Linked DNA regions of Drosophila melanogaster. The protein of the gene in region 3 interacts with the protein of the main gene of each other region in a pairwise test. Each region holds a gene or a part of one and is shown on either strand. Other genes may lie near its edges.

Region 1 (3,762 bases), on a different chromosome or scaffold from region 3:
TCACAATGCTGAAGATCCTCTCGCCTAGTCGAAAGAAACGCCTCGCCTAAGTCCTGAGCCGAGATCCGACCATTTCCGATTATTTATACCCTCCATTTTGTCATGTTATCTATTTCTTGTCTATCAAACAATGCCCACATATTTATAGCATCGACTCATCTGCACCCTCGACTCTTTCGGATCGTTATCTATACATGTACTTATTACTCTGCACCACATTTTTCACTCACAATGTGTTCCAGTTATAAAAGTTAAAAAAAAAAAACAAACAAACAAATCAAAATCGAGGAAAACATGACGTGCAACTTGAAGCGTGCAAATCAATTCAACCTATTTTTATCATATTTTTGTTTCATGATGTGTACATTTTAGTCCTTTAATTTATTCCAAAGGTTTGGAAATTTCGCGCGTGACGAAGAGAGAGAGTTATACATAGTACTTCATAGTTATAATTATATAAAACTCTAGTACCTAATTTTATGAAATCATGTTGTATATACTATATGCTGTATATTGTTATACATAAACCTTTAAATAAAAACTGCTACCAAATACAGTGTCCCAGCGTTTAGTATTTATTCCAACGATCATATATCGGATTGACAAAAAATGAGTATAATCGTTGTGAGGTTCTTTGGAGGTGTTCGCTTTTCGAAGTTCCCTATACTTTGGTAACACGTTGCATTAGTCTTTTAACATCATGGTCGTTCTTCTTGGTTTGGCATTAATTATGGTGTGCATGGTCTTGTGGTTCTTAAGGGCAGAGTTTCTGTTGAAGATCTTGGGGCATCGGGGACACTTGTAGGATCGCATTAATTATGGTGCATGGTCTTGTGGTTCTTAAGGGCAGAGTTTCTGTTGAAGATCTTGGGGCATCGGGGACACTTGTAGGATCGCATTAATTATGGTGCATGGTCTTGTGGTTCTTAAGGGCAGAGTTTCTGTTGAAGATCTTGGGGCATCGGGGACACTTGTAGGATCGCATTAATTATGGTGCATGGTCTCGTGGTTCTTAAGGGCTGAGTTTCTGTTGAAGATCTTGGGGCATCGGGGACACTTGTAGGATCGCATTAATTATGGTGCATGGTCTTGTGGTTCTTAAGGGCAGAGTTTCTGTTGAAGATCTTGGGGCATCGGGGACACTTGTAGGATCGCATTAATTATGGTGCATGGTCTTGTGGTTCTTAAGGGCAGAGTTTCTGTTGAAGATCTTGGGGCATCGGGGACACTTGTAGGATCGCATTAATTATGGTGCATGGTCTCGTGGTTCTTAAGGGCAGAGTTTCTGTTGAAGATCTTGGGGCATCGGGAACACTTGTAGGATCGTAATTCAGGTCTCGAACTATGTACGCGCTCATGGCGCCTAAGACCGCGGATTTGTGCGTAGGACTGGGAGCATTGTAAGCATTTGTAAGGTTTTTCACGCGCATGGACCCACATGTGACACTTAAGGTGCGCAGGTAACATGAAATACTTCCCGCAAATGTTACATTTATGTGTCTTCTTCAGCATTTTCTTCTTGGTATCCTTCTGGGCGCTGCTCTGGCTCACATTGCCATTCCCGTTGGAGTTTGAGTTGGGGCACATATTCTCCACGTTGTCCCCCGGTGAATCGATTGTCAAGTCAATTGTCTCCATCTCCTGGCTGCCATCGACTGGCTCAATCAGTTCAACATCGGAGTCATTCGATCCTTCTTCCTCATAATTCATCTCACTGACCACCATCTCATCCTGCTCAATCACCTGCACGCTGTCCATCCCGTAAGCAGTCTGCGCATCCAGCGCACAAGACTGGCAAATGGTCTTGGGAAAAGGATCCTTCGGTAGAACCGGGAAGCCGCACCAATCGGAAATCATGGTCGCTAGGGAAACGCCGGGTAGCGGCATCGTTTCGAAGATGCATAGCATGTTCTCCATCTCCCTCAAACAGACACGGCACATCCTGGAATCCATTGCTTTTAGTTAAATTTAATTTTTTGACATGTATCACGTTGGGATGGGAATGATAGTTTGGAAACACGTGCTAGGAACGACCGTTAGGGACAATAAAAACCGATAGTTTTTGAAGCTTTAGATCATCGATACTGCCGGAACTATCGATAGCTTCTTTTAATGTTTTGCCGGCTCTAGTGCCAATACCAATAAAACGCCGGCCAACGCACCAACGAGAAAACCGTAAGAGGAGGACATGGCCCTGCCCTCGATCTCCACGCTTCTAGGCGTTGCATTTCTGGCGTACATCGGCCACTCCATCTACCAGATGTCGCAGCTCTTCACTACGCTGCAATGCAGCGGTGTGCCGTGCTACACATCATTCCTGGCGGACAGGCCACGCCTGCAACTGGCATTGTTTTCCTCCCTCAGCAGAAGTCCCATTGCCACCGAGGTGCGGGATCTGTACAAGGCCAAGAGGTTCGACTATGATCAAAACTTTGAGCACGACTTCGAAGTGGATGTGCCGCTGAGGACGCGCCGGAATGGCTCCCTGTATCTTCATGTGGTCTTGGCCTTGGAGGGTGAGCCACTGGAATGGCGTAGCCTGCGCAGAGATGGGCCCACCGTTGTCCATACGATGAGTCTCACGGATTACATAGTGCCGCGGGCGGAGGCCTTTAAACTGCTTGGAGATTCCGAGAAAGGTGCAGCAGCCGCTGTCCAGGAGAAAGAAAAGAAGAAAGCCTCCACCACTGGACGTCCCAGCACCCACATCCGATCGAATGTTTACGTCACCCTGCTCAACGATCTCTATTCCGTTTCGCAAGCGGATGTCCCACCTGAAATGGCCCCCTTGATACGTGTCAATCGCAATCAACAGATCTTGCCCATCCTGCAGACTGATACATTTAATACGCGGCTAAAGGATCTAGTGCCCGTCACCCGCAATACCACCGAATTCACATTCAGCTTCCACTACAAGCCCGTGGGCGTGGGCAAGCTCCGTCTAATGCTGCTCATGGAACACGCCACCCAGGCGCTGCTCACCATTGGATTTGCTACCAAGGATATTGACGAGGTGAAAGGCATCTTTTCGGACACCAATGTATACCTTTTGTGTGGCACCATCTTTGTGTCCAGCATCCATGTGAGTAGAGATTGAAAAATTGCAACATACGTCATATGCTCCAGTCCTATAACTAATTTATGTTTCCCTTTTCCCGCAGATGCTCTTCGACTTTTTAAGCTTTAAGAACGACGTGGCCTTTTGGCGCAAAAAGCAGTCGTACGAGGGGCTATCAAGCCGCACCACAATGTGGCGAGCGTTTTCGCAGATCGTGATCTTTTTTTATCTGCTAGATGAGAATACGTCGTATCTGGTACTTGTGCCAGTTGGCCTGGGCACGCTCATTGAGCTGTGGAAGTGCAAGAAAATCTTCCGTCTGGAGCTTAGCTTCAGTGGCCTGGTTCGTCGCAAGCTGGAGCAAGTTGACCGGCGGAATGGTGACCAAGCTGGCGTGAAGTCAGGTCAGCTGGCGGAGGAGCAGAAGACTGATCAGTTTGACAGACAGGGCATGCGATATCTGAGCTATCTGCTGTATCCGCTTTGTATATGCGGAGCGGTCTATTCGCTCCTCTACCAACCACACCGCTCCTGGTACTCATGGACACTTAACTCACTGGTGAACGGAGTTTACGCCTTCGGTTTCCTGTTCATGTTGCCGCAACTGTTTGTAAACTACAAGCTGAAGTCTGTGGCCGCATTGCCGTGGCGCGCATTTATGTATAAAGCATTTAATACCTTCATCGACGACTTCTTCGCCTTCA
Region 2 (3,188 bases), on a different chromosome or scaffold from region 3:
CCCGCCCATCGACGGTGTAAATTTCAAGCCAAGTGTAACACCTTTTTCCTGTCATGATGATTTTAGAGGGTTTGGGTGGCGCTTGTGTCTCTTATTGTGTGTTTTTTTTTTCGCAATTTTCGTTTTTTGCCATTTGTTTTTTCGCTCAAATTTACATACATCATAGTCATTGCAGTTCAGGGCATTTTGATGGAAACAGTTAACTTTTTAAGCCGCAAATTGAAAGAAAATAAAATGTTAAAAAAACATCGCTTGTGCTCTTTGTGTTTCTCTGATTTTGTTGGTGGCGACTTTCAATTTTGCCCGCGACCAACAGAAGGCGGCATCCCCTGATTTTATTTGCGATTTTTTTTGCCCTTTTGTTTTCAGTGTTTGTTTAGTGAGATTGATTCGATTTGGGCAGCGCACGAACATTGAATCGCGACAGTAAATCTATGTTCACTCTCTAACTTTCAGATGTTATTGAAAAATTTTTATTCAACAACCATTGGAAAGGAACTAAGTTAATGTATTTTTTATTCGGCAATTTCCCTGTTAAATCATTTAATTCGAATAACGCTCAATCAAGTGCATCAGTTCAGTCCGGGCCTTAAAGACGTCCGCATACAGCTCTCCATTGACACCACCATCGGAGCAGTGTTGCCCGTAAATGTCCACTCCGCACAACCGATCCTGGTGGAGGAGGACATCCCCCTTTGCCGTCTGGCAGTCCACCAATCGGTTTGAATTAAGGGCGCACAACATGGTCTGCGTGATGAAGGCGTTCTCATCCTGGGCATAGCTCCTTTTGCAATTGCTATTGGGAATGAGTTTGGTGCGCAGGAAACGCAGATGTTGCTGTGACATGTACATGGTTACATTGTCATTCCTTCGGAGAGGTGACTCGCAGAGATCAATCGGATGGACGAAGGGATCCTCCAGTGGAGCGTGGAGCAGTAATAGGGCCATGTCCTCAATAGCGCCGGTAATTAGATTGGCCACCGAATATATCCGACTCCGACTAGCCTGCAGTTTGTACGAACGAGGTGGAGGTTGACGCAGAGTCCTGGGAAAACAGAGGGCGGAGGTTAAAACCAGACGAGTGGAGATTAGAGCACCACTGCAAATGACTTTGTTTTCATAAAGGATTCGCATAACGAAATGCTTCACTGCCTTTGGTGCCTCTGTTGTGGCTTGTCCATCGGTAAGGAGAGTCTCGATTTCAGCGGGAATTATCTCTAGGCTGTTGGGTTCTTTGTTGCCTCCGCTTGAGAATCTAGCGGAAATTTTCGGTGATCTCTGGTAGGGATAGGGCACTATATACTCAATAACACGAACTATCTGATAGGGCTGTCCATTGCTGGGTATTTCACCCACATTAAACTGCGGAGCGGTCTCAGAAGATCCGTAAACTGATCCTCGGGAGACTGCTAATATTATGACTAGCTGACTAAGCTGCATTATGACATTTCAACCGATTCAGTCTCAAATCACAACAATTAGGTTTCTTTCCCCGTAACTGATTTAAATTCTTCACTTAAACCATTAAGTTTCCGGATCAAATCGCCGATCATGGGCTGCAGTTTGCCTAGACTTATGTAGAGATCACCATTGAGTGCATTTTGAAAACAGCGAAATCCATAAACGTTTAAGCCACATAATTGATGGTCTATAAGTAGGACATCACCTGGAGAAGTTGCACACATTTCCGGATTCATTGAGTTCTTTGCACACAGCATACTGGGAGTTATAAAAACTGAATCCTCTTCCAGGAATGTTGTCTTGCAGGCACGATTTGAGATTATTTCAGTTCTTCGACGGCCGTAATATCTGAGATCCGAAGTGGCCATCATCATTGATACTCTTGTGCCCAATGGTACGTCATATTGGCATAGGGCAATTGGATTGATTTCAGACGGCCTCTTCAAGTGAAGAATGCTAAGCTCAGGACAGAAATCCGCTTTGACTACATTATCCACAGCGATAGTTCTTCCGCCGGTGAAGATAATTTGCAGCGGTTTGAAAGAGTCGTTTGAAAAGCACTTACTGGAGGTGATGGCCAAACTGGGAGCCACCAAGGCCGCACTGCATCGTACCGCATTTCCCACCTTTATCTTCGCAATAAAGCTGAATTGCAAGTGGCTCATCCCGATCTCATTTTGATATTCCAGTTCCTGCCTTCTGATTGGCTTGTATTTGTTGATGATTCTAACTATTTGACGGTTTTCTGACAACTGATGGTTGCCTCTTCCGCCACTAGGATATATCACATTCACACGACAATCCTTGCAGAGTTGAGCTCCAATCGCCGCTTCGCAAAGCTGACAAAACCAAAGCGCTGAAACACAAACAAGCAGCGAATGCATCTCCAATCGACTGATAACCAGCAGATGACTTTTATTTATGGGCGAATGGAATTCGAGGCGCCTGTCAAAGCAACAAACGTCGCTTCGATCCACATGGCGTATGCGTAATCAAAATGTTTTGCCTGCTAAATGGCAAACATAAACAGTTGACGGCTGTCAGTTGTTGGCAGTTGTTGCGTGTTGACAACGTGTCAGGTCTAATGACCAAACAAAGGTAGGGCACACAAACATTTGAAGTGCAACTCGATATCCTTTTGGCTCTCCGGCTGGGGGTTTAAGAATGATAAGTAATATTACCTCATCGTTTAGCTTTAAAAATGTTTTTAAATCAAATCAAGTGACTATATTTTAGAGATTATCTAAAGGATATTTTAAAATGTGTTAGGTAAATGAAATGAAAGAATAAAAATATTGTAGAAATTAAGGATAATAGCAAACTATCAACCATTGAATTCGAATTCGCGATGTGGGCGTCTTTCGTGGAAATCGAAAATTGTTTTTGTGCATTTCAGCAAATTAAGAAAAATGGCAGCAGCTTCGGCTGGACCTCTGCTCATTTACTGAATTTATGGGCGGCGCTTAAACTGAATTGACAATCAATAGTCCCTCGAAGGACGAGGCTGGAGGACACGCAGGATAGCAGAGCTCATAAACAATGCGGCCAATTTACATGCCCAGGGATCGACCGCATGTGTGTGTCTATCCCAGTGTGTTCCACCATGAAAAGGACCTTGTGTTGCTTTTATTGTTATCGTTGGAAATGAAAAATTGTCCCTTTGTTGCATATAAAAACAATGGGCCAAAGAACTTGAAATCAATTTCAAACGTTTTAGGCAAAGCCAA
Region 3 (4,988 bases):
TCAATAAAAGTAATATTTTGATGCGCCTATTTTCTAAAGTTCAGATGAATTCTGAATGCACATGAATCGTATGATTGGTTTCTCGTTTAGAATCTATCCATTGTATATAATTATATATATTGTTACATTATTATTACTATATAATATAATAATATTATATTGCTTGTACTTCTAGTATTATTTAATTTATTACTTTTTCCTTTTCCACGTTTTTTTTTTTCAGTGCGCTAACAAAAGTTGTGTAGCTAAGCAAAAAGTTGAGTGACGAAGAGCAGGGGAAGACGTAGGTCCAAAAAGTGCGTGCAGTACTGCAAAAGCAAATGGAGAGCCAAAAAGAGAAGCACAGGGGTGGATTTAGGAGGTGGAGTGAGGTTTATTGGCGCTCGACCGAAAAATGCACTGCATTTTTCGTTATGGAAAGGGTTTGATCTAGTGGTATTTTTATAAAATAAAAATATATGAAATTAATTTAAAATGCATCGAAAAAGAATTATTAAGGAACGCGTTCCGGAATAATTCCACTTCCGACTGGGGAAGCAAAAGCAGCAGCAAAAGCAGGAGCTTTTGCCTTTGCTTATTGGATTTTCGACGCCGGCACTCCACGTGTTTCTTGAATCGCGTAAATTGTTCGTTTTCCCTTACCACACCCCGCCCCTTTACCGACAAGCTTTCATTGTCATTGTGTGTGCATAAAATGGCAGCAGAGAGAGAGAGAGAGAGAGAGAATGGGAAAACATGCGCCAAAAAAAAGCTTACCGCTCTCTCCTCTCTTTCGCTCACTGCAAAACGAATGCGCATTGTTATTGTTTTTGGCAAGGCTGCACTGAAAAAAAAATACTGTTGCTAACGAACTGTCAATGAATAGAAATAAGGTAATTGTTTGATTCAACTTTATCAACTCTTTTTCCACTAAAATTAAGTGGTTATTGTTTGATTGGCTAGGAATTTGATATTTTTGATGGGAATTGCATTCAAAAAAGGGACTCCTGACACTTGTGTGAATAGGGGAAGTTTTTGGGCTGAGAAATGAAAAGCATTTTGAGGGTTTTTGTTCCAATTTTGATGGTTTGATCGGAAAGTTCTCAAGGGATATGCAAATTATGCGAGAACTGAGTAGTTAGGTTATTATTGTTTTCTTCCTAGAAATCAAAGACCAATTGTAAGAATTTTCTAAAGAATTCCAAAGAATTCCACTAAAAAAATTTTATCCTTTACTTTTGTTTTCTGAGAGTGATCAAGATTTTAAAGAAACGTAATGCGTTCTTTTGCATTAAAGCTATGCAATTAACATTTTTCCCATATTCCCATCTTAACTCATTGTGCCGATCTTAAAGTGGTTTTCCATATAAATCGCCTCTTGCGAACCCTATTTCTATTGCATCTAATATTCAGAGACCACCTGGATGGAATCCCCCGCTGTTCGAATAGGTTAAGACCAAGTTAAGGTTTGCTTTTGCTATTTCGGGACGAGATTTCCCTAAACATTTTCCACTTGAGCGGAGCTCCTATAAATTACCTCATGTCCTTTGCCTTATGCAATTGCGCCTGCAAAAGAGAGAGTGAGAGAAAGAGTGAGAGACTCACCCCCGGATTATGAGGATATATGTAATTTTTATCCTGGGGCGGCAGTGCATACACACAGAAAAAGACATGCAAAAAGCAGTTGCAACGACCATTACTTCTACTCGCCTGAGTAAATTGTGTTCTAAAAATCATTAAAAAAAAATATGTAAACTATTTTCTGTTATACTTTAGACTATTTTCGGTTATCCTTTTTAAGAATCCTTGTTGGAGATGTCCAATCTGACAATTGCAAGTTGCTCGCCTGCATTCCAATTGGATTAAAAGCTCGCTCGCTCGCTCGCGCTCTCTTTCTCTCTCTCTCTACGGAGCACACCACTGCACGCTTGTTCGTTCGCCGCCTGTTGGAATCGAAATCGAATCGGCAGTCAAAAAGAAACTGCCGTGTTGAACGGACGTGTTGAAGTTTCGCGGTTGCTTGTTTCGGTGGTGCTCGCAGCAGCAGCAGCGTTTGTGCATTCGCATTCGCAGTCGCAAATTCGCATCGCCTCGTCGCTCGTCAGCCCTGGCAACTGCAGGCAACTCAAGTTTTACACGTAAATTAAGAAACGAGGAAGCACGGACAGAATCGAAACCGCTTGATAAAACAGTTATTCTCTACATTTCTGAACTGAAAGAACTGCAGCGGATGAAGTGCAAAAAGCGAAAAGTGCTAAAAGTTTGCGGCATTGAACACTTTTAATTATTATTTACGTTTTGTTTGTGTTTCGTCGAGCAAAGCAAATGCACAAACTAACTGTCCAGTGTGCATGTGTGTGGCAAGAGTGCGTGAGTGCGTCGTGAGTGTTGCAAAACGGCTGTTCGCCTAGTAATTCAAAGGTAATTTTGAGTGAATATTGATCATATTGAAGTGCATGTGGTATGTTTCAAAGCTCAAATAAAGTGACATAAAATCAAAAATGAACAATTATGCGTGTGTACTTGGTTTTCTCGCACACATGAAATTCTGGCCTATGTGTGTGTGTGTGTGACTTTGCAACTCGAATTTCAAACGGTACAAAACGCAGCATAAAAAATGAAGCGAATAGCAAAAGCAAACTGAGAAAAAGTGAAGTATAGACTTTTATGCATAACCAAAACGTCTGCATTTTTAATCAAGCAACAACAATAGAAAAATAAGCAAAAGCAAACTACAACAACAACAGCGAGGAGTACATGGAACAATAAACAACCCTCCCCGTTTTCCGCCTCCCCCTGAAAATAAACAAGGCGCAATACCAGTGAACTGAACCCCTTTTTTGCACTGTGTGTTTATGTGTGTGTGTGTGTGTGTGTGTGCTACGAAATAGCAATTAAGGGAGAATAGAGGAAAGTGCATGAAGTGCAGGAAAGAAGGCAAAATGCAATTAATCCCCAGGACACTTGTTCAAAAAAGCGAGAGAAAAGTGTAGAATAACGGTGAACAAGTGTTGAACAACTACAGAAATACACTACAAAATGTGAAAACTTCTTAAAAATAGTTTTGAAGTAAATGTTCTTAAAACAATTAGACAATTCACTGCTCAAATAAAAATGTTTCCCCTTCCCCAAAATTTCCAAGTCCCAATGCCATATAAAGTGTTTTTGAGTAGAATAAAAGACATTTGCCAGAAGCAAAGTGGGAATTACGGTCCCAAAATGGGAAAATGAAATATATTCTGCGATAATAAAATCATTAATCCAATTCCACTTACAAGAAATCGGGCTGATAAGAAACCAGAAATTCTGGGCACAAATGAAATGAAATTTATTCGGGTGAACTGTGACAAATTAATATAATATTAAAAAGAAAATGAATACTTAAAACATGTCACATTATCCCCGAATAGATTTGAGTTTCAATCAGCCAAATTCCACTTACACTTTTTAATAACAATTTTCTAACCGCTTTTGTATTTGCAGCCAAATGTCAATGTGAAAATGTCTCAACGAGCAAATTTTAGGAAAGTCAAGAAAAACATTCAACGACCTCAAAACCAGCGAATGCTACAAAATGCGAATCAAGAACATTTAACCATCTAAATATTCAAAATCAATTTAATTGAATCAAATAACGCGAAATTGCAACAAATCAACCTAAAAATGAACTGAAAACAAAAACATTTCGAAAAACAACGCAAAATTCTAAAATTGGCAACATAAGTTTTGGTCTTGAATTAAATACAACAAAAATAAATTAACAAAAAACGATTTTTGGCAACAAAACATCATACATAAAATATACACAAATTGTAATTATCTCAAAACGTCCACACGTGAAAATGATTTGCAACTAAGATGACAATCTAATAAAATCAATGTAAATTTTTAACGCAACAAAAGGAAAACCAAAACCGTCAGCAAAAACCAGCCCAAAATCAGTTGAAAAGCCGAGGGAAATCTTTTTAGAACAAACGCAGAAAACCGCAAAAATTTAAGCCACCAAATTGGTAAACTATTCAAAATTATTGGTTCGGACATACGCAATACTAAACACAGCAACACAACAACAACAACAACAACAGCAACAACAGCAGCCATAGCAACTACTACAGTGATCACTACAGTAAAAGCAACCGCAACAGAAGCAGCAGATAAAACGTGTGTGTTAGTTTGCATAAAAATTTCGTTTCGATAAAAGCAAAGCAAAATCATTTAACAAAATAAATAAAGAATAAAGTAAAAAAAAAAATTACCAATCGTAATACATGTATTTATAAAATATATACCTATACATATATCTATGCTTACGAATTATATCGGAGAATATTTGGTAAACAATTTTTGATAAAAACAACTCGAGTATATATCCTAACTAATTAGCAACAAAAAGAACTAGAACATTTGGCCTAAGTGAAAAAAAAAGTGAAGTGAGAAAAACTAAAAAGAAAAACTTATAAATTCAAAATTACCACTTGTGAAAGGTGTTACAACTGAGGATTCTGGATTTGGATTAATGCGTAAATTTGCAATTGAATATTAAGGTGAGTTTGTTATGTTATATTTATGAAAAATTCACAACTTGTCATTTTTTCACACATCTCTTCGCATTTCTTAATGGCCCTTTTAAGTTTCCCCACGCACGAAAAAGTGCGTAAAATGAAAAATGTTTTTTTTTTTTTTAGAAAGTGTCCACAAACATTTGCAAACAATTACCGCTCGTAAAAAAAAGGCAAGTGCTCCGCCTCTAATTACAATTATAATTTATGCAAAAAGTAAGGAAAACATTTTTTGGTCAAGAGAAAAATTGTCTACGCACTTTGCGTATGATTTATGACACTCAAAACTTGGCGTTGCATATTAATACGCGAGAAAAAAGCAAAAGTTGCTTGCTTGTCACTTCTACATGTGTATCTACGCACACACACACACAAACTCTCTCACACACTCACGCACGGAAAGGGGTGTAGATATTTTTTGGGGTTGTGCATAAATTAAAAATATATTAC
Region 4 (8,029 bases), on a different chromosome or scaffold from region 3:
GTGGTTGATGAATGGGTTGCATTTCAATTTTATGGGCAGTAAAAGGAAGTGCAGAATTGGAATGCGGCATTGAATTAAGACCTCCTTTCAGAATAGGTCGGCCTAAAATATGTAAGTCAAAATAATAATGTGTAAGTCTTTGAACCCATTAATACAGAAGTCGAAGATCTCAAGTTTATTATATCGCGTTGTTTAACAAAGATATTTATTCCTAGAGAATAAAATATTGCTTTGGGTCACAGATAACTACATTAAAACAAAGTCCACTTCAAAAAATTCCACTAAATAATCGTAATTTTCATTACCCCAATAAGTCAAGAATAATCAAAATTGTAGGGTACACTTCTTGCACAGAATATAAATTAAGCAAACTGTGTATATGAATATTTATTTTTTGGTCTATTAAAAAATACTCTCTATATTATGTAAGTATATACGTGCACGCACGTCGTGTCTCAAAAAGCCAATTTAGCTATTCTACAGGTTGTATATTTACACCCGGTTCTCGTAGAGATATACTATATTCGTTTTAAAGAATGTAACAGGCAGAAAGAAGCGTTTCCGACCATATAAAGTATATATATTCTTGATCAGGATCAATAGCCGAGTCGATCTGGCCATCGAGATCTCAGGAGCTATAGAAGCTAGAGAGTTGAGAAGCTTGAGAGAGTCATGATGCTGCGGACACTCTAAGGCCCACAAACAGGCCAAAACTGCCACGCCCACAAAGCCACCAAAACTTTTGAAAATTTACTTGATTAAGAGACTAATAAATTGATGAAAAAGTCAACAAAAATCCTAAAAAACGTATGGCGTTACTCGTCATTCTAATGTCTTTGGCAAAACCAATATATGGCCGTTACGTATCTTGTTATTCTAATGTCTTTGCTTTTACGCTACGGGTAACGGGTATAAAAAGCATCCACTTTCTCCTATCCTATACTATCCTCTTTTAAGAACTGAATTTTGTATTTGCGTATTTGCACGCTTTTTATGGTAACTCAACGATTTTTATAATTTCTCTTGAAATTCATATACATTTACATTAAGTTTATGAGAACGAGTAAAAAAAACTTATAGCAAAAAAAAAAAAACAAAGCTTTAACTAATAAATGTACTTTAATAATAGCTAACACTTTTTTGTGTAACTTACCAAATGTTTTTCCGTGGACCATTTGCATATTGCCAGAAGTCCACTTTAACACTTGTTGATTACGACTTTGTGACATGTTGGGAGACAAATGTTGATTGTTTTGGCCAATGGCAAAGTTTCCACCGCCTAATATCATTCGGGGCTGTACAGCCATTGTTGCGGTCAGCTGTGGCTCAAGTACGTTCTCACGAGTACCGACTTGCTTGGCATTTTGTTGGTGTACATGATATTGTGGGTTCTGACAATAAGTGCTTGGTGATTGCGTATCCTTATCGGCTGTCATTTTTCTTAAAACTGAAGTAGGAGTAAATGCCAACGGAGTTGGAGAGTTACCGTGGGAAATTAGCTGATTAATCGTATGGTTAGCAGTATTTTGCGAATGCAATTCTAGAAAAAAATTAAGGAATTTTTACAAATAATTTTAGTAATAAATAAGATACTTTAACTGAATCAAATATTATATTAATTGAATTTTAAAGAGTTACCATATAACCAAGAATTACTTACCTTGAGAGTAGTGCTGATGGACTGATTGAGGCTGAAGAAACGATTGTTGGGTAAAAATATTGGGATCGCCTGTGACCACCGGATTTCTTTTAGAATGAGAATATTCATTCAACACTGTGGCAATGACATCCTTTGTGGCTGCTGGGGTGCTGGGATTATCCAATTCTTTTTCCAAAAAATCATGTGAAACGTCTCCACAATGAAGTCCTATTTATTATTAAACATTTTGTTTTTCATAATATTTAAATACAGCGCAGGGTATAAAAGCATTAAAATAAGAACACGTGGTTTTTACCAGATACGCTTTAAATAAGTTCCCGTTCTGATGGTAAACATGTATATGGTAAACTGTAACATTCATGTGTTTTATCAGCCAGAAACCTTATATTATTTTACCATAAGGACAAGAAAAAGGACTTAAGTATTCAAGAAAAAGTTTATAGACATGGAATTTTGAAACATATCTTACTTTGAATTAAATGTTGGATTTCCAAACGCTTTTGCAAAAATACATGACTACTAGTTGGCATGGTTGGCACGTTAACACTTAACTCTGGTTGCTGCAAATGACCATCATTTATTTTTTGATGTAATTTTGACTCAAGGTGTACATGATTTGCTATATTTGAGAGGTTTATTGTACGACAATCGTCGTTGCATGGATGATGCTGCCTGGCTTGAGAACCCAACTGTTGCAAAAGTTTTTTGAATGCCTCAGTGTCTCTAGCAATAGGTTTTTCCATTTGCACTGTCTGACATAATGACCCTGCTATTGGATTTATTAAATCAGTCCTCATATCCACTTTTATCATTTGAGCTTCCAGATCCTTAACACTTGGAATACCTTAAGAACAAAGTGAACTATAAGGCCTTTGATATATTATTACAAATCTTGACATACCACGTTTTTCTTGAGCATGCGATTCCCGAAACCCTGGAAACTCATTATTATTTGCAGCTTCTTTTTGTCGAAACCATCGGCTAAAACGGGATGTTCCTTTTGAGTCACTTTTTCCAGTTTCATCATTACTCTGCAAATGTACAATAAATATATCTTAAAATTAATAAGCTTACCTTTAAAATATAAATTCTAGGGTATTAGAGTTGCCGGGGCAAACTTTTTTTTTTGCAAATCCATAGAAATTTACTAGACTAATAAAAATATGAAAAAATATCAGAACATTTTTCAAAAATGTTGGCGTGGCAGTTCTGGGCGGTTTGTTTGTTTGTTTTTAACGCATAAAGTGATAGCAGACAACTGTATGTGTACACAGGCATGCTCATGCATTGTAAATTTCACAAAATATGCCCTTCACCTTAGAAGTTCTTTGACTTTAAATCTATATTATTTTTGATCAATTGGCACCATGCGAAAAATTCTTGTTTTGCATTGCCTTAACGTTATTATTATATGAAAATAGATTAGAAATAGCCAAATCTATGTACATATTATCACAAAAATAAATTTCAAAAATGACTTTATATAAGAATATTTGTCATTAGAGTATTCATCTTGCGGCGTGTGAAAAATTAATAAGGCAATGATTGTTGAGTGCTTGTGTCCGTACTTCGTGCTTCAAGATATGAACAAAGCAAAGACACTAGAATAATTCTAGTGTCTTTGATATGACTTTTGCAATAAACAGTTATCATATTTAATTATTTACTATATTTATTATGTCATTTGACTTAATATGATGTAACATTAACATTAAAAGTGTTTAAAAAAAAAAATATTTCGCTTTTAAAAAATTGTCAGATGAGAGACAAATTAGAATTAAACATAAATATAAATGTGTAAACGGTAGCTAATTCGAGCGGCGATTTTAACAAACAAATTTAAAAAGCTTTAAAATGATAATAGTCAGTTAAAAATTATTTTATTTTATCATATTGCTACGAAATTGACAAAAACTACCCTAATATGTACAATGTAAATTCGTTTCTTTGATCAGAATTGATTTCGGTCCGAAAATCGTCTTCTAGCACAACACGCACACATATATGCGTTCTCGTCTCTTGTTTTTACTCACACAAGCAAGCAAATTCTATTTTTAGATTTCTTATGCTCTCAGCGGGAGCGAGCGGAAAGAGAGCAATTTTGGCCGTCACTAAAAAATTGGCTGCATAGTGCAAAACCAATGTATGGCCGTTACGCATCTTGTTATTCTAGTGTCTTTGCTTGTGCTGCGTCTTCGTATCTATAATCTGTATGCTAAATTGCAACATACTAGTTTTTTTAGTTCCTGAGATCTCGACGTTCATACGGACAGACGGACATGGCCAGTTCGACTCGGCTATTGATCCTGATCAAGAATATATAGTTTACATACTTTTCAACGAATCTAGTATACCCTTTAACTCTTTACCCTTTACTTGAGTAACGGGAGTTAATATCATTATTTACAGCTTATTTGAATACTATTATTGATCCGTCAATAAAAGGTAACCCGGAAGTTGTCCATGTAATGTCTGAATGGATTAGGTACTCATTCCTTAAAATCTAGTTTTTGCAATATATTTACCAAAACGGAATTATCCAAGGGATGCATATTAAGAAAGGCATCAAAATTAAATTCACTTTCAGGATTCTGACTGGGCTGCATCTGAATTGGTTTGTTTTTATTGGGATGGCCGAGATCTGTTGAGTTTTGAATAGAAGTCACTACATTTTCGTCAGTGTGCTTCTTTTCATCACTTGGAATGACTTCGCGGAAATTTAAACTATCATTGCTGTTTCTCATCGAAGCTTCATCTTTGCTTGCTTGCGCGTCTAAATTTTTATCAAGTTGTTGAATTTGATTATTTTTATCTTCAGTTACGGATCGCTCTTCGTTTTTTTCCAGGTCTTCAAACCCGTGTAGATCAATAGTTTCTAGCTGTGATTTAGGTCCTGCACTGAACCATTCAGGTTCTTCGTGAATGAGATAGGAATTGCCACGCTTGCTTCGGCTTTGAGTACTGAAAGGCTCCTTACCAGAAATGCGTCGATTATTAATTCCCTGACGATCAAAAGACTTTTTGGAGTCATATTGAAAACGACGATCTGTGACTTCGGGAACACGTTCAACTAACCTTCCACTGAATGTTCGAGAACGATGTTGGCTTTGATTGTGCTGATTAAGACTGCTTGTACTTCCAGATCCATTTGGAGATGTTTCCTTTTCATTCTCAATGCTGGCTTCTACGGTCTTTTCGTTTTTGTAATCCCAATTATCACTTCTTGGCAACAGCCGACCGCTACCAATCCGCCTTTCTTGGCGGGATGTTGAAAATGTAGGTGAAGATGACATGCATTGGTCGTGATCCGGCTGAACAAAATTCAAACATGTCTCAGCAGTATCCAACTCGCTACCCTTACGGCTAGGCGAACTGGCTGCCTTGCCCTTGCTTGCACAAGTGTTTATCCCCTCGTTGCTTTCCTCGCTGTTGCTGCCTTTCGATATGACAAAACGCCTCTTTGCAAATGCCGGCATTAAATGTGAAGATGATATGCTACGGTGATCGATGATATTCAACTTATAGGGCTGTCCATGAGAAAGCGCATCCTTATCTTTATCCTCCCCACTTATTAGAAGAGAATCGGTAGGTACGAAGCGCTGGTAATAGTTGTTTGCCCGTTCTCGATTTCTCATAGCGCGACGTGAACTTATTGAGCTACTATTGGAACAAATTAAGCTCGAGTTATCTGCTTCTGGAGAAAGTCGATTCTTGTTTTGATTAGAATAGGCGCTGGACACGGTTAACGCAGCTGTGTTCAGATTAATTTTCCAAAAACCTAGCGTCTGCAATTCAAGTCGTGTTGAACATTGCGGGCGCTGTCGACTTTTACCTTCATATCTTAGAGCTAACAGGTCTACTTTCGAGTACCTAATGTGAAACAGATTGTTAAAACAATGTTAGTACATATACAAGTTTAAAAAAACAGTACGCGAGAATAATATCGAAAAAGTTGACTAAAATTTACCAATATTTAATCCACATACCTGGCACTAATCTTTGATGTATCCATTGCTAAGGACTATAGTTCACTGTGTAATCTAACTTATTACAGAAAGTCGAAAAAGTTAAGATATCCAAAATTATTAAAAACAGAACACTCTCCTATATGAACGGGAGAAATTGTACAATGAATATACAAATAGTACACACCACTTATGCAAACACACACTTTGAAAAATTAATATATATATATATATATACGTATTTTAAGGCCATATATATGACTGTTGAGTTTCATGAGAATATAATCCCAAGACGCTTACATACATATATAACAATTTTTAATGCTCACAATGTTGCGATTAGCTTTGTGAATATCACGCTAAATTGGAGTGGGATATAGACATTGAAAATATTTTGTTCTTATTGAACCTTAAGGCATTATATATATTAATATTGAAACATTAAAAGAGAAACACCGTGAAACAATGGAATTTTGAAGTTGTGACATTTGTGGGAAAAGAAATTCTAGGTTTTTCCTACTGGTGCTAAAGCGATACCAGACTAAGCATATCTGTCCGTTCGTATGAGCGTCGAGTAAAGGTGCCGAATGTTTTCTAAAATGATTAATATTATTATTTACACTTGAAAAACAAAAAATAAATTTTATTTATGTAACGTCGATGTTTTATAAAATAGTTTATATGATTATTTACATTTGAAATACTCATAATATATAATATAAATAAGAATATTTTTATATTATTAAACTATTAAATTTTAAATTTAATATAAAACAAATCAAGAAATTATAATCAGGCATGCATTACCGAATAATCGTAATTTGTTTCCGAATTCGATTTGATTTCGTAAAATTTTTTGCTGTCGGAGTGTTTTCTGTACAGTAAACAGCTGTTTAAGCTGTTTTCCAGCGGACACCTTTTTCACAATTTTAATTCCGATGTTCGCATTTAATTTTTTACTGCATTTTGACCGTTTAATTAATTAAATTAAATAGCATTACTTACGAACACTATAGGCCATCTTTTAAATTAAGATAATTAATTCTTTTATATTTTATAAGTAAGTTTAGTCGACGCACGCATGACCCCATGCCAAATCGAAAATTTTTTTTGCCGACGGCAAAATTTTGTATGTCAAATTTTTAATGGGGTCAGAAATAAATTGTATATAAAATAAATAATGAATATAAATAATTAATATAAATCAATAGACCACTGAGTAAACTATTTTTTCCCTTGGTAAATAATATCTTACGTGATATAAAAATGGGCATATACTTTTCATTTCGGCCAGACAAAAGTGTCCGTTTTACAAATCGAAAAATCCTTACGAATTTGAAAACCGGAGCACCGATCTTGCGTTTTAAAATGCCAAATCGAAAATTTTTGTTGCCGACAGCAAAATTTTGTATATCAAATTTTTGATGGGGTCAGAAATAAATTGTATATAAAATAACTAATGAATATAAATCAATAGACTACTGAACTATTTTTTCCCTTGGTTAAGATCTAACGTGATATAAAAATGGGCATATACTTTTCATTTCGGCCAGACAAAAGTGCCCGTTATACACATCGAAAATCCTTACGAATTTGAAAACCGGAGCACCAATCTTTAAAATCGAAATCGTAAAGTACTTCGATTAACGGAGCGTGCCCGATAGATTGATTTTGAAATTTTTTGTAGGTGTACACAGTTATACAAGGAAGTGCACGCCTAACGCTAAAATATGCTGCCGGCGGTCTGATGAAACATGCACGGAATAAGTGTTCGGTCGACTTCGGGAATGATCTTCGTGCACAATGTCTAGAAAATGACATCATGTTCCACACAATGTCATGGTCTATCAAAATCTATAGAGGTTTAGAGTTAAATACATAGCTATTTTTATAGTCATAGTCCCCTTTTTTTGAGAATATACGATAGTTTTGGTTATGGTCTAAGAGTGCGTCACCCAATTTCTATATGCCGTCCTGCATTGACCTAACGGTCTCTACCCACCCATTAATGAAGATAATGACGGCGGTATCGTAAGGATGGCAAAATAGGGATGGTATGGCACAGTACGAAGAAATGTGGTACAAATAAAGCCATATGTCGAGTTATTAAAAATCAAAGTTTTTCATATTTTTCGTATGGTGAGAATTTGTCGTCACATACCATGTCCAAGGGAGTAATAATTTGAAATAAATTGTTAAAGATTATCATACCAAAGACATTAGAATAACAGGATGCGTAACGTCTTACGATTTTTTGGCACACGGTTTTTTCGCCGTGGCTCCAGGCCCCCTCGAATTTTTGTTCGAGAGCGAGAGAGCGGAGAGCGCTACAGCGCACAGCTCTTTTCTACGCATACAGTGATAGCAGACAACTGTGTGTGTGCACACGTATCCATGCATTGTA

The links.
Region 1: the proteins of chinmo (region 3) and CG4318 interact in a two-hybrid assay, tested with the Drosophila melanogaster proteins (one large-scale study listed by BioGRID).
Region 2: the proteins of chinmo (region 3) and intr interact in a two-hybrid assay, tested with the Drosophila melanogaster proteins (one large-scale study listed by BioGRID).
Region 4: the proteins of chinmo (region 3) and 4E-T interact in a two-hybrid assay, tested with the Drosophila melanogaster proteins (one large-scale study listed by BioGRID).

The regions. Positions count from the first base shown.
Region 1 is NC_004354.4:13,152,908-13,156,669, forward strand, and holds CG4318 (uncharacterized protein), read right to left. Parts: upstream 2,018-3,762; 5' UTR 1,954-2,017; coding exon 1,243-1,953; 3' UTR 554-1,242; downstream 1-553. Other genes in the region: CG32645 (uncharacterized protein), read left to right, coding at 1-50; CG4332 (uncharacterized protein), read left to right, coding at 2,189-3,082, 3,162-3,762.
Region 2 is NT_033777.3:28,788,774-28,791,961, reverse strand, and holds intr (intrepid), read right to left. Parts: upstream 1,441-3,188; coding exon 544-1,440; 3' UTR 501-543; downstream 1-500. Other genes in the region: CG34295 (uncharacterized protein), read right to left, coding at 1,479-2,345.
Region 3 is NT_033779.5:1,649,313-1,654,300, forward strand, and holds the start of chinmo (chronologically inappropriate morphogenesis), read left to right. Parts: upstream 1-1,945; 5' UTR 1,946-2,400; intron 2,401-3,462; 5' UTR 3,463-4,523; intron 4,524-4,988. UniProt on the Drosophila melanogaster protein: Required for morphological differentiation of postmitotic neurons during postembryonic brain development. Ensures production of appropriate neuron subtypes within a lineage by preventing precocious generation of late neuronal types of that lineage.
Region 4 is NC_004353.4:952,360-960,388, forward strand, and holds the start of 4E-T (eIF4E-Transporter), read right to left. Parts: upstream 6,034-8,029; 5' UTR 5,673-6,033; coding exon 5,647-5,672; intron 5,531-5,646; coding exon 4,186-5,530; intron 2,692-4,185; coding exon 2,562-2,691; intron 2,505-2,561; coding exon 2,130-2,504; intron 1,868-2,129; coding exon 1,661-1,867; intron 1,541-1,660; coding exon 1,154-1,540; intron 103-1,153; coding exon 1-102. UniProt on the Drosophila melanogaster protein: eIF4E1-binding protein that regulates translation and stability of mRNAs in processing bodies (P-bodies). Probably plays a role in P-bodies to coordinate the storage of translationally inactive mRNAs in the cytoplasm and prevent their degradation.